Callithrix jacchus: one gene and its partners. The protein of the gene in region 2 purifies or fractionates together with the protein of the main gene of each other region. This does not show direct contact. Links are inferred from orthologs where the notes say so. Each region holds a gene or a part of one and is shown on either strand. Other genes may lie near its edges.

Evidence for each region. The genes of interacting proteins can lie anywhere in the genome.
Region 1: the proteins of FBXW11 (region 2) and NUDC purify together in Homo sapiens (affinity purification with mass spectrometry; 5 studies listed by BioGRID and IntAct, counting the BioPlex papers as one, with this or other methods). This does not show direct contact. The link is inferred for Callithrix jacchus from reciprocal best matches to the Homo sapiens genes FBXW11 and NUDC.
Region 3: the proteins of FBXW11 (region 2) and RIPK4 purify together in Homo sapiens (affinity purification with mass spectrometry; 4 studies listed by BioGRID, with this or other methods). This does not show direct contact. The link is inferred for Callithrix jacchus from reciprocal best matches to the Homo sapiens genes FBXW11 and RIPK4.

The regions. Positions count from the first base shown.
Region 1 is NC_133508.1:63,593,638-63,597,294, forward strand, and holds part of NUDC (nuclear migration protein nudC), read left to right. Parts: intron 1-2,101; coding exon 2,102-2,305; intron 2,306-2,397; coding exon 2,398-2,463; intron 2,464-3,016; coding exon 3,017-3,136; intron 3,137-3,230; coding exon 3,231-3,425; intron 3,426-3,657. UniProt on the Homo sapiens protein: Plays a role in neurogenesis and neuronal migration. Necessary for correct formation of mitotic spindles and chromosome separation during mitosis. Necessary for cytokinesis and cell proliferation.
Region 2 is NC_133503.1:64,278,918-64,283,356, forward strand, and holds the start of FBXW11 (F-box/WD repeat-containing protein 11), read right to left. Parts: upstream 2,929-4,439; 5' UTR 2,794-2,928; coding exon 2,749-2,793; intron 1-2,748.
Region 3 is NC_133522.1:47,550,898-47,554,554, forward strand, and holds part of RIPK4 (receptor-interacting serine/threonine-protein kinase 4), read right to left. Parts: intron 1,313-3,657; coding exon 1,164-1,312; intron 1-1,163.

The sequences.
Region 1 (3,657 bases), on a different chromosome or scaffold from region 2:
CTGGGTAGGCTTCCACACCCCTGGGGTTATCTCTCTGAGGCTGGGCCTGGGTCAAGCTGATGGGAGGAGGGGTCAGAGGCTGCTGTGATTGGCCTTGACTCTGCCTGGTGGTTTAGCTCTGCCCTTGCTTAACCTCCAAGAGCTAGGAAAGAACAGTACAAATGGGATGTGACATGATTCAGTGGAGCTGGGAGAGGGGAGGGCCCTGCTCCCACCTCCCTTTGGCCACTGGTTGGCAAATGGCTATAGTTCAAGGTCTCTCTGATGAGGGACTTGGGACCAAGGCCCTGCGGTGGAACAGCCTCTGCTGGCACAATTATCTCATGACCTGTCATTTCTATTGACAGCAGAATGGCCTCCCCTACCAGTTTAACTCGTGGTTTAGGGGGCACTTTTTGTTGTTCTTTAACCTTGTAGAGTGTGGAGCTACTGTAGTGTGTCATAAGCCTGGGGGTTTGGGAATAGCAGTAGAAATTGGCGTCAGATGGGTGAGAATCCACAGGGCATAGCAGAACCCCAGCTCTGGGGGCCCATGGGTGACTTCTGTGACCTTGAGCCCCTGCAGAGCTTTCCCTGCAGTTCTGCCTTCGAGATGCTTGAAAGAGGTTTTATTGACCACTGATCACATGGTGAGTGCTCTGCAAGGCCTCTAGGGGTGTGTGCGTGTGTGTGCACATGCACACTGTGTATGGGTTGGCATTGAGTTGACTTTCCTAAGGGTATGTTCCTGGGCCAGAGGTGAAACTTCAACACTTGACTGGTTGAGTTGGTCTGCCAGATGACCTGACAGAGGGGACAAGACATTCTAGGCAAAAAACAACACATGCCAAGATTGCTTTTATTTATTTTGATACAGGGTCTTTGCTCTGTTGCCCAGGCTGGTGGCGCAATCTCTGCTTACTGCAACCTCTGCCTCCTGGGTTCAAGAGATTCTCTCAACCTCAGCCTCCCAGGTAGCTAGGACTACAAGTGTGTGTCACCACACCTGGTTAATTTTTATATTTTTAGTAGAGACAGGGTTTCACCATGTTGGCCAGGCTGGTCTCGAACTCCTGACCTCAGGTGATCTGCCTGTCTTGGCCTCCCAAAGTGCTGGGATTACAGGCGTGAGCCACTGTGCCTGGCCTTGCACTGGGCTCTTGATGTGTGCTGTCATACTCAATCCTCATGACGGATAAGGAAACCGAGGCTAAGAGTCATTCACTGTCTAAGGCCAGGAACCAAATAATGACAGTTGGCCATGGTATGGGGGGTTAGTTAGCCCTTGGGTGGCAGGGAGGCTGGCTAGCACATCATGGCGTGGAAACATCCTGAGAAAGTATAGTGGAGAAAAAGGATTTGAAGTTGACAGCTTGCTGGCTGGAGAGAGGGGGACCAGGCTCTTCTCTCAAGAAAGCTCCCTGGCTTTCTGCTAACGTGGCCTTCCTGGGTGTGGCGTCAAGTCTTGCGTAACTGGACTGTGGTCTTGGATGCACTAAGAGTAAGAGTGATCAGTCAGAGGAGCAGGTCACTGTGGGCCTGAGAACTCAGGAAAGGCTTCTGAGGGACTGAGGCTTGAGTTTTTGCTTGTAACAGCATCACTTTTTTATTTTGTTTTTTTGAGACAGAATCTCCCTCTGTCATCCAGGCTCAAGTGCAGCTGTGCGATCTTGGCTTACTGCAACCTCCACCTCCCTGGTTCAGGCAGTTCTACCTCAGCCTCCCAAGTAGCTGGGATCACAGGAGCACGCTCAGCTAATTTTTTTGTATTTTTAGCAGAGACAGGGTTTCACCGTGTTGGCCAGACTGGTCTCAGATTCCTGACCTCAGGCAGTCTGCCTGCCTTGGCCTCCTAAAGTGCTGGGATTACAGGCGTGAGCCACTGCACCCAGCCAAGCGTGCACTTTTAAAAACAGCCAGTTTATTGAGACAGGTGGTTTGCATGTATTCTCATTTCAGCTCTATGAGATAGATGTATTTTCCTCATTTTGCAGATGAGGAAACTGATGTTCTGAGTGTAGTACTTTGCCCTTGCACCCAGCAGGTAGAAGAGGGGCTGGACTCCAGGCTATGGGACACTGTCCCCTGCTCTGATGCCTCATGGTCTTTCCTCCCTCTCCAGCTTATCACTCAGACTTTCAGCCACCACAATCAGCTGGCACAGAAGGCCCGGCGGGAGAAGAGAGCCCGGCAGGAGGCTGAGCGGCAGGAGAAGGCGGAGCGGGCGGCCAGGCTGGCCAAAGAAGCCAAGTCAGAGACCTCAGGGCCCCAGATCAAGGAGCTAACTGATGAAGAGGCAGAGAGGCTGCAGCTAGAGATTGACCAGGTGAAGGGTGGGCTTCCCTCCTCCATTCCTCAGATCCCCACTGGCACTGAGCAGTGAGGTCCTGTTGCCAACTGCTGTGTTCTTTGCCCCAGAAAAAGGATGCAGAGACTTATGAGGCCCAGCTCAAGAACGGCAGCCTTGACTCCCCAGGGAAGCAGGTGAGATGGACTGGAGGCACTTGGGATGAGACAGGAGTTTGGAACTTCCAGAGAATCTCCTGTCTACTACCTTCTCTGGAATACCCTTCCTTATCCTATCCCCTCCCCTCCTGGCTTTGGGAATCTTCCCCATACTTTAAGATTACACTCAGAGACATTGAAACAAAGGATCCAGGTTAAAAAAAAAAAAACAAAAAAAACCCCTTGACCTTAACCCATTTATGGCAGGAAAACCCAAGAGCCAGAGAGGGCAGTGCCTGTTACAGGTCCCATCTGAGGTTGCCTGGGTTCTGTGGGCCCAGCCATATCCTTTGTCACATGGTATAATAGTCTGAGCTCCTCTCAGGCAGAGATCAGAACTAAGTTTTACCTGGTTCCCAGTGGACCAATGCTTGGGGATCTGCCTCTCTGTGGAGTGGGCAGGGACCAGGTCTTTTTTGTTTTGTGGCTGTATGCCCAGTGCTAGCTCTGGGCTTGGCCCAGTGAGGTGGGTTCATTCTGTATCTGTTCATGTCTGTCAGGTAAGTAGCTAAGTGTCCCTGATTGTAAGCAGGAGACTGAGGAAGATAATGAGGAGGAAGACGAGAAGGACAAAGGAAAACTGAAGCCCAATCTAGGCAATGGGGCAGACCTGCCCAATTACCGTTGGACCCAGACCCTGTCGGAACTGGACGTGAGTGTCAGGGACCAGAGGTAAAGCTTAGGGAGCCAGCCTGGGGTGCTGGCAGCACTTGGTGGCCCCTCCTGACTGCCTCTGCCCTATGCAGCTGGCAGTCCCTTTCCGTGTGAACTTCCGGCTGAAAGGGAAGGACGTCGTGGTGGATATCCAGCGGCGGCACCTCCAGGTGGGGCTCAAGGGGCAGCCAGCGATCATCAGTGGGGAGCTCTACAACGAAGTGAAGGTGGAGGAGAGCTCATGGCTCATTGAGGATGGCAAGGTGGTGACTGTGCACCTGGAGAAGGTATGTGAGGCCCAGCTCTTTTGGCCTCCCTTCTTTTGGAAGAAGGGAGGATGTGTGCTTATTTTACTCTGGAGCCATGCTGGAGGCATTCTGGAATTATCTTACTTAATTCCCATGACAACACTCTTTGAAGTAGGTCTGTCCCTATTTTTTTTTTTTTTTTTTTTTTCCTTAAAGACAAGTCTCACTCTGTTGCCCATGCTGGAGTACAGTATCACCTTCTTAGCTCACT
Region 2 (4,439 bases):
AATTTAATTCTTCTGCTATCACCAGCTTTATTTCCTAATGTACTTATCAAAAATGCCAGGAAAGACAGAAGAATTAATATCAAGGGAAGTAGAAGGATGAAGATTAGAAAATGGAGATAACCAAGAAGTCTGTTTCCTCTTTCTAGTACAGCACATTTTGGAATACAAAATGAAAGTTATCTTGTTAACCATTAAGTGCCAAACTGGTACAAGCAGCACAATCACAAATATTTGAGTACTCAAGTTGACTCATAAAAATCTAAAAATATTTCATGCTAAGGTCATTTTTTTTTACAACACCATCATTTTAACCCCATCTCTATCAATCGTATTATTTTGAAACCAATGTAAAAAACATTTTTAACCCAGTTCTGGAAACTGTCATTTAAATGTAGTGAAAACAGAAAGCCACATGCAATTAGATTCTAAGGCATTATCATTCCTACATTTGATCCTGGATTTACTTAATCAGTTGTTAAGCACCTTTGCTATTTTACTAAAATAAATACATAAACTTAATTTACAATAAGGGCTGTCTAAAAGTCAAATGGTATCCCTTTCAGGGAATATCAAAATCCTTAAATAAAAACCCATTTTTAAATTAATCATAATATAACTAAACTCTCCATTAAATTTTCTAAGAATTCCAGTTTAAATCCCCGTTTATAATGTCCTTAACAGGCTGAAATCTCTTTTCAGATCAAAACCAAGTGCTATCATGTCAAATCAAAACTTAAGTTACAAACATAGGAAGCCAATGCATTTAGGCCAAAGGTTTTTATTTTTTTTATTTTGTAACCATACACTGATGTGGGTTACAATGTATTTCTCCCAATTCTTTTGACAATAAAGACATTTTAGTTATTTTTAAAAAGAATAGAAACAGAAGGAGCTGGGAACAGCCAATTTCAAAGAGGCACCAAGTTACAATTTTTCGATATGAAGTACTTCTGTTGTAAGTACAGGTATTGTATGAACATTCTTAAGAATATGTAATATACTTAGTCGATTTAAGATATTTAGCAAAATAACCCACTACAAAAGTTACAGAATAGCAAACACTGACTACAAGTATGATAAATTATGCTGAAAAGGAAAAATTACTCAGCATGTGACATTATCCCTTTGAAAACAACCACACGTGCACACACACATGCATACAAAAATCAAAAACTATCAGTTTCCCTTTTTTTCCTCCTAGTTTTCAAGAATGCTAGAGAAGTCCAGTTCTGTGAATTACGCAAAGGACAGCAAACATTAAGCTGCCTCCATATTTATGCTACTGTACTTCCATTTTTAAAACAAGTATCTCCACTCCCCAGATACCATCATCCACAGAAACCATGCAGCTATCCAACAGACTTTCAGTGTCACCATTTATTATTTATAGCGTTAAATGGGGGAAGTGGCTCTGATGTCACCAACCCTACCCAGTGGAATCACTGACTCAATAAACATTTTCACACTGAAGAAAATCTGGCTAGGAAAACATTTTGCTGGGTTAAGTAGATTCTTCCACCTCTCCTCTCAACCAAGGGGAAATTGTTACCGTGTTAGGGCAGATACAAAGAAACTGTCAAGGCTTCCACAGAAAGAAATCCTGGACACGTCCGTTTGCTCATGCAGACTTCCTCTTCCCAACTCTCCAGAGCCCAGTTTGATTTCCCTCATGTTCAAATTGGCAGGTAATATCTGCCATATTTTATTTCTTCCACCAAATCATCCACCAATTAGCAAATTCTTCACTTCTAGCCACTCTCTCACGGTCCTGTTCCTAAAAACCCCTTCTGGCTTCAAATCCTAAAGCTTCGGAAGAGGGTAGAGGGTGTCCACGGACCGGGGAGTCTGGCCTGGCTGCCATCGGTTTCTAACAGAAGAGTGGTCGTTTCCCCCGGGGGCCAAGGATTCCCCTTTTTTTTTTTTTTTTTTTTTTTTTTTTCTTTCTGAGAAGAAAGAACTCCCGGCAGTGATGAGGATGGTTCCCTCCCCCATCATCCCCAATTTCCGAAAGCAGCTCTGGAAAACGTGAAGTTGCGGCTTCTCTTTCCTGGGGTATGGAATCCAGAGTACCTGGGGCTTTGCTATGCAAACATCCCTCTCCGCCGGGTAGGAAACCCTTTGTCCGAGAAGCCGGACACCACAAGGGCCCGGGAAAGAGGCCTCCTTATCCGCCACAGCCTCAAACCCGAGAGCTCCCTGCCCCCCAGCTCTGCAGGGCCTATCCTGGCATCCACACAGACCTAGGCTGGGGAGTGGGTGCTGAAACCCCTCCTAGGACACCGAGGCCCAGGCGGCCCCGACCGATCTCCTCCCTACTCCTTCCCACCACCACACTCGGCCTGAGTGGGGCTTGCAAGCGCAGTGCGGGCCTGGGCCGGAGACACAGAGTAAAGAAAAAAAAAAAAAATCCCCTTCTAAAAGAAGGAGAATGGGGTGCTAGAGCGAGTGAGACCTAACTCTACAGCAAAAACGAGCGAGGGTCGTCCGAGAGCTGGGACCGGAGACGGGACAGGGGGAGGGGGAGAAGCGAGCGAGGGGCATGGAAGGGGCCGGGCCAGGACCGGCCTGAGATGTCGAGAGATCGGAGGAACCCGAGCCGAGTCCGAAGCCAGAGAAGGCTAGGGGCCCGGGTCTGGGCCGAGACCGCGGGGAAGGGCCAGAGCCGGCCTCGCACCGGACGTTGAAGTGGGCAGGCCAGTCCGGGGCCGGACGGACGGAAGCACAGACGGTCCAGTGGGCCGCACTCACCATGAGCTCGATGGTCTTGTCCTCAATCACCGAGTCGGGCTCCATGGCGGCCCGGCGGCCCCGCCTCGCTCTCCCCGCGCAGCAGCGAACGGCCCGGGCGGAGGAGGCGACGGCGGAGGCGGCAGAGGCGTAGGCGGCTATCGCACCCACTCTAGCTGCCAGCCCGCCCGGGCCGCCGGCAGCTCCGCCCTCCCCCTCGGCGAACGCAGTACGCAGAGCAAGAACTACACCTCCCAGCAGGCGCCGCGGCCCGCAGTGCGTTGTGGGAGCGAGCCGCCGACACCGGGCCGCTGGTTCTAGGCACCCGAAGCTGAACTCCGAGCTGAGAGTAGCACTGTACTGTGGATGTAGGACGTGTAAACCTGAAGAGTTAAGAGCGTGCTCATATTAGGGCCTCGAGAGCGCCACGACTACATGGCCCAGAAAGCCGTGCGCCCAGGTTCTACTTCCTAGTAGCCTCTCCTGACTTCCTGGCAGCCCAAGGCTGCCCAGACCGGGACGGAAACTCCGAGGCAACTCCTCCCTAGTCGGAGGTCCTGCGTGTGCGACCCATTTCCGCACATGCGCGGTCCATGCCGCAGTGCCCACTCGACGCTTAGGTAGCTGCGCTGCCGTCTGCCAGCGTCTGGTAGTAAGGGCAGATGGTGGAGACAGGTGGGTTCTAGGGGCGTTAGGAAGGTAGGTGTATGGGCCTGGGGCTCAGGTGTGGGAAGGGGCCAGCGAGTGAGAGAAGCTTGGCCCAGGGAAGAGGCTCTGAGAAGATGGGCATCCTGAGAGTTTGGAGATTTCTTCAGGAAAGAGGGAGTTTTGGGAAATGGGCTGTGGTGCTGTGTGTGTATGTCATACAATCTGCAAGGAGCTGCAAGATTAAAGGGAACCTGCGTATATCGAGTCCGTCTCATTCATTCGTTCAGAAATGGTTTTGTTTTGTTTTGTTTTTTGAGACGGAGTTTTGCTCATGTTACCCAGGCTGGAGTGCCATGGCGTGATCTCGGCTCACCGCAACCTCCGCCTCCTGGGTACCTCAGCTTCCTGAGTAGCTGGGATTACAGGCACGCGCCATTATGCCCAGCTAAGTTTTTGTATTTTTAGTAGAGACGGGGTTTCACCATGTTGACCAGGATGGTCTCGATGTCTTGACCTCGTGATCCACCCGCCTCGGCCTCCCAAAGTGCTGGGATTACAGGCTTGAGCCACCGCGCCCGACCCAGAAATGGTTATTTTTTAAGCATCCAGCTTCTGCTTCGTACCGCTCTAGGCACTGAGAATCAGCTCTGAACATGACAGACAAGGCTCTTGTTCTCATGGAGCTTAATTCTGGTAGAGGGACGACAGACATTAACCAAAAGAGTGATAGTGGCTAAGAAGGAACACACAAGCGGAGACTTCTAGTGAACTCAGCCTCCACTTAGGGTTGTCAATGCCCTTTAACCAAATCCCACCAGGAACACACGGATCGTTGAACAAACTGGGTTTATTACTAGTTGCAGTGACTGAAAACACACATTGAGGAACGATGGGGCATCTGGGTAACAGTTAATGATTCGGAAGAGGGTTTAAGGAAGTGTGGGCTTCTCTGGATTAGATGCTGTCAGGAAGAGAGGGTCATTACATGATTGAGCATCTCAGTTCATCTTATCTAGTGGAAGGGAATGCCTGTAAGGCTAAAGCTGTTCAGGTAAAGAAACAGC
Region 3 (3,657 bases), on a different chromosome or scaffold from region 2:
TTAGTGCTCAAATGCTGGGGGTGAGGGCCACAGTGGGAGACTTAGTACTCAAATGCTGGGGGTGAGGGCTGCAGTGGGAGACTTAGTACTCAAATGCTGGGGGTGAGGGCTGCAGTGGGAGGCTTAGTACTCAAATGCTGGGGGTGAGGGCTGCAGTGGGAGGCTTAGTACTCAAATGCTGGGGGTGAGGGCTGCAGTGGGAGGCTTAGTACTCAAATGCTGGGGGTGAGAGCTACAGTGGGAGGCTTAGTACTCAAATGCTGGGGGTGAGGGCTGCAGTGGGAGACTTAGTACTCAAATGCTGGGGGTGAGGGCCACAGTAGGAGGCTTAGTACTCAAATGCTGGGTCACACTCGCAGAGCTGAGGGTGAGAGCTGCAGTGGGAGACTTAGTACTCAAATGCTGGGGGTGAGGGCCACAGTAGGAGGCTTAGTGCTCAAATGCTGGGTCAGACCCGCAGAGCTGAGGGTGACAGCCAGAGTGGGAGGCTTAGTGCCTGCTCACATGCTCCCGCCCTCTTTTCTTCTCCAAAGTCTGTGTGATTAAGATCTTTACAGTTTGAAAAAGGAAGGCACCAGGTGACCTGGGTATTGATATCTGACCAACAAAGGTAATTGCATGAAGATGAGCTGTTCACCTCACAAAATCAGAGTGAATTTCAGAAAGTCCAAACACACATGCACACAGACACCCAGACCACTGAAAGCAGCAGGTCCTTCCAGCAGACAAGCCATAAGACCCACAGGTCACAAAAACGCCAAGGCTCCAGCAGGGCAGGGCTCTCAGTGTGGCTCTGCCGTGCGCCTGGGACCACTCCTCCTCCTCGGCCAGCAACACTCACAGCAAGGAAATCCCCAGACTCTTCCAACACCACCCCTGTCATTTTTTTTTTTTTTTAAGACAGAGTCTTGCTCTGTTGCCCAGGCTAGAATCCAGTGATGCGATCATGGCTCACTGCAGTCTCCACCTCCTGGGCTCAAGCAATCCTCCCACCTCAGCCTCCCACAGTGCTGGGATTATAGGCTTGAGCCGCTGCACCTGGCCTGAACCCCACTTCTGACTGGCAATAAGAGGCCTTTCTGACAGCTGCAGCTCAGGGCATGAAGCTTCAAGGTTCAGAGCCTCTGGCCTCTGTGGGGGGTGGGGGGTGGCATGTCACATACCTGTATACGTCATGCTTGGTGTCGAAGAGCCGGCTCTTCTCCCTGATGCGCTCTGGAGGGAGGTAGGCGATGGTGCCGAACAGGCCGTCCATGCTGAGGTCGTGTGAGTGGGACAACCCGTTGCACTTGGCCAGCCCAAAATCAGAGATCTGCAACACAGCCATGGAGCGGGGCTCGTTAGCCCCCAGCGTGATGCTTTGATGCATTATCAAAAGCTCCCTTTGGCAATCCCAGAGGGTGGGTGGGAGCTTTCCAGGAGCGCCGAGAGCCCACCCCGTGCCTCTCCAGGCAGCCCTGCGCCAGGCATGGAGGGGCAGATTCTGGGGCAGAAGCAAGCCTGGAGGCTTTGGTTAAAGGATCAGGCTGTAAGGAAGGAATCCTCTGGAACAGAACTCGGAAGAATTCGAATCCACCTTCTATAAGGCATCGTGTTTGCCACTGTGGTGACGGCCAGTTGGCATAAAGGGGAACAGGCACGCCTTAGAGGGTTCAGGCAGACAGCAGCGCATGTGAAGATCAGGTCTGCTCCTAGAGAAGCCGGGGAGCCGGTTGTGAAACCTGCCAGCTGGGAAGGCTGGCGGGCAAGTGGCTGCAAGTCCTTTAAAGGGAAACACACCTTCAGAAGCCCTTTAAACTTGAAAGCAAACAAAACTCACGCCTGGCAGCCCCATCCATCTAGGGTGTTTTGTGAGCAGCAGACACTGGCTGGCTGCTTCAAACACATGCATTCAAGTGAAGGTCTGCTAGCCCAGGCCCCGGGGAGCACCGGCCACCAGCTCCTCCAGGAACGCCCTCGGCATCTGCACTCGGGGGAGGCAGGCCTCAGGTCTCCTTCCAGCAAAGGTGCCCTTGGAGCTCACTAGATGCCCCTTCCCCAGGCTGACCTCTCTGTGGGGGATGGGAGCGTCCCCTTCCCTCTCCAGTGTAACTCAGACCGGTTTGAAGCTGCTGAAGACAGTGTGTGGGAGAAGCCACAGCTCATTAGCATTAATGGGACTCCGGATCCAGGGGGAGCACCGCTCTCAACTCTCCTTTAAGGCATACGGATTTTTTGTAAAAACCTTTTCATTAACTCCTGGGCTCCTCTCAGACACACCCATGGAGTGACAGGAAATGAGGCTGAGTCAGGCCTTCATTCTGGGCTGGCTGTGCCCAAGCGGTGAGCCAATGGGGCTGCTGTCATCAGCACAGCAGGGAGACTATGACTGGGCTTCCAAGATCCTGAGCACACCCACATGGAGTGGGGGGAGGCCTGCGGGAAAGGCCTGCGAGAAGAGACTGCAGGGAGTGGGGGAGGCCTGCAGGGGAGGCCTTCGAGAAGAGACCGCAGGGACTGGGGAGAGGCCTGCAGGGGAGGCCTTCGAGAAGAGACCGCAGGGACTGGGGAGAGGCCTGCAGGGGAGGCCTTCGAGAAGAGACCGCAGGGACTGGGGAGAGGCCTGCAGGGGAGGCCTTCGAGAAGAGACCACAGGGAGTGGGGGGAGGCCTGCAGGGGAGGCCTTCAAGAAGAGACTGCAGGGAGTGGGGGAGGCCTGAGAGAAGAGACCGGAGGGAGTGGGGGGAGGCCTGTGGGGGAGACCTGCAAGAAGAGACTGGCCTCCTCTGCAGCCAGCAGCACCAGGACAAGGCCCCGACTCCCAGCGTCTCTCATTTCCTCTCACTTCTGTTGGTCCCAGGGCCTTCAGGCCTGCACCGCCCTCAAGAGCCACACTCCTTCACCCCAGGGAAAGCACCAGCTCCCCAGAACACCACCATCACCTGATCCTGTAAACCTGGATGGCAGCCAGACACTGGGACACAATCATGTGTCCTAACTCTCAAAATAAGCTCAAGAGCGCAGGAAGCTTCAGTTCAACCGTCATCAGCGACTTCAGAGGTTTCAAATTCAGAAATGAGTTGAACAATGAGAACACAAGGACACAGGGAGGGGAACATCACACACGGGCCCTGCTGAGATGTGCGGGGGAGGGCAGGGAGAGCGTCAGGACAAACACCTAATGCATGCAGGGCTTAAAACCTAGACGATGACCGAGAGGGCTGATGGGCACAGCAACCCACCGTGGCACACGCACACCTGTGTGACAAACCTGCACATTCTGCACACGTACCTGAAACTAAGAGTAAAGAAAGCATCACACGCTTTCCAGGCAATTCCTTCTCCCCTTGTATGGTTGACTGCAGGAGAAAAGTATCTCCCTCCCACCGTCAGCTAAGGATCAGACTCGCTGTTCTAATCTTGCCTGTACAAGTTAGAGTTCTGTGGGCCTGGACGATTAGCCTCTCTGTGCCTGTTTCCTTTTTTCATAAAAGGAGGCAATAAAAGTAGCTTTGTTGTGAAAATAAAATGAGATCTAGTATCATTTTAAAAAGAAGAAGAAAAGAAAAGGAAGACATGAGAGGGACTGAGGCGCAGAGGTCTCAGCCTTTTCTCCTCCTCCGTGTCTTTGTCAGAAAGAGCCAGCCCCTCCAAACCATACTTGGTGAAAAGAAAACC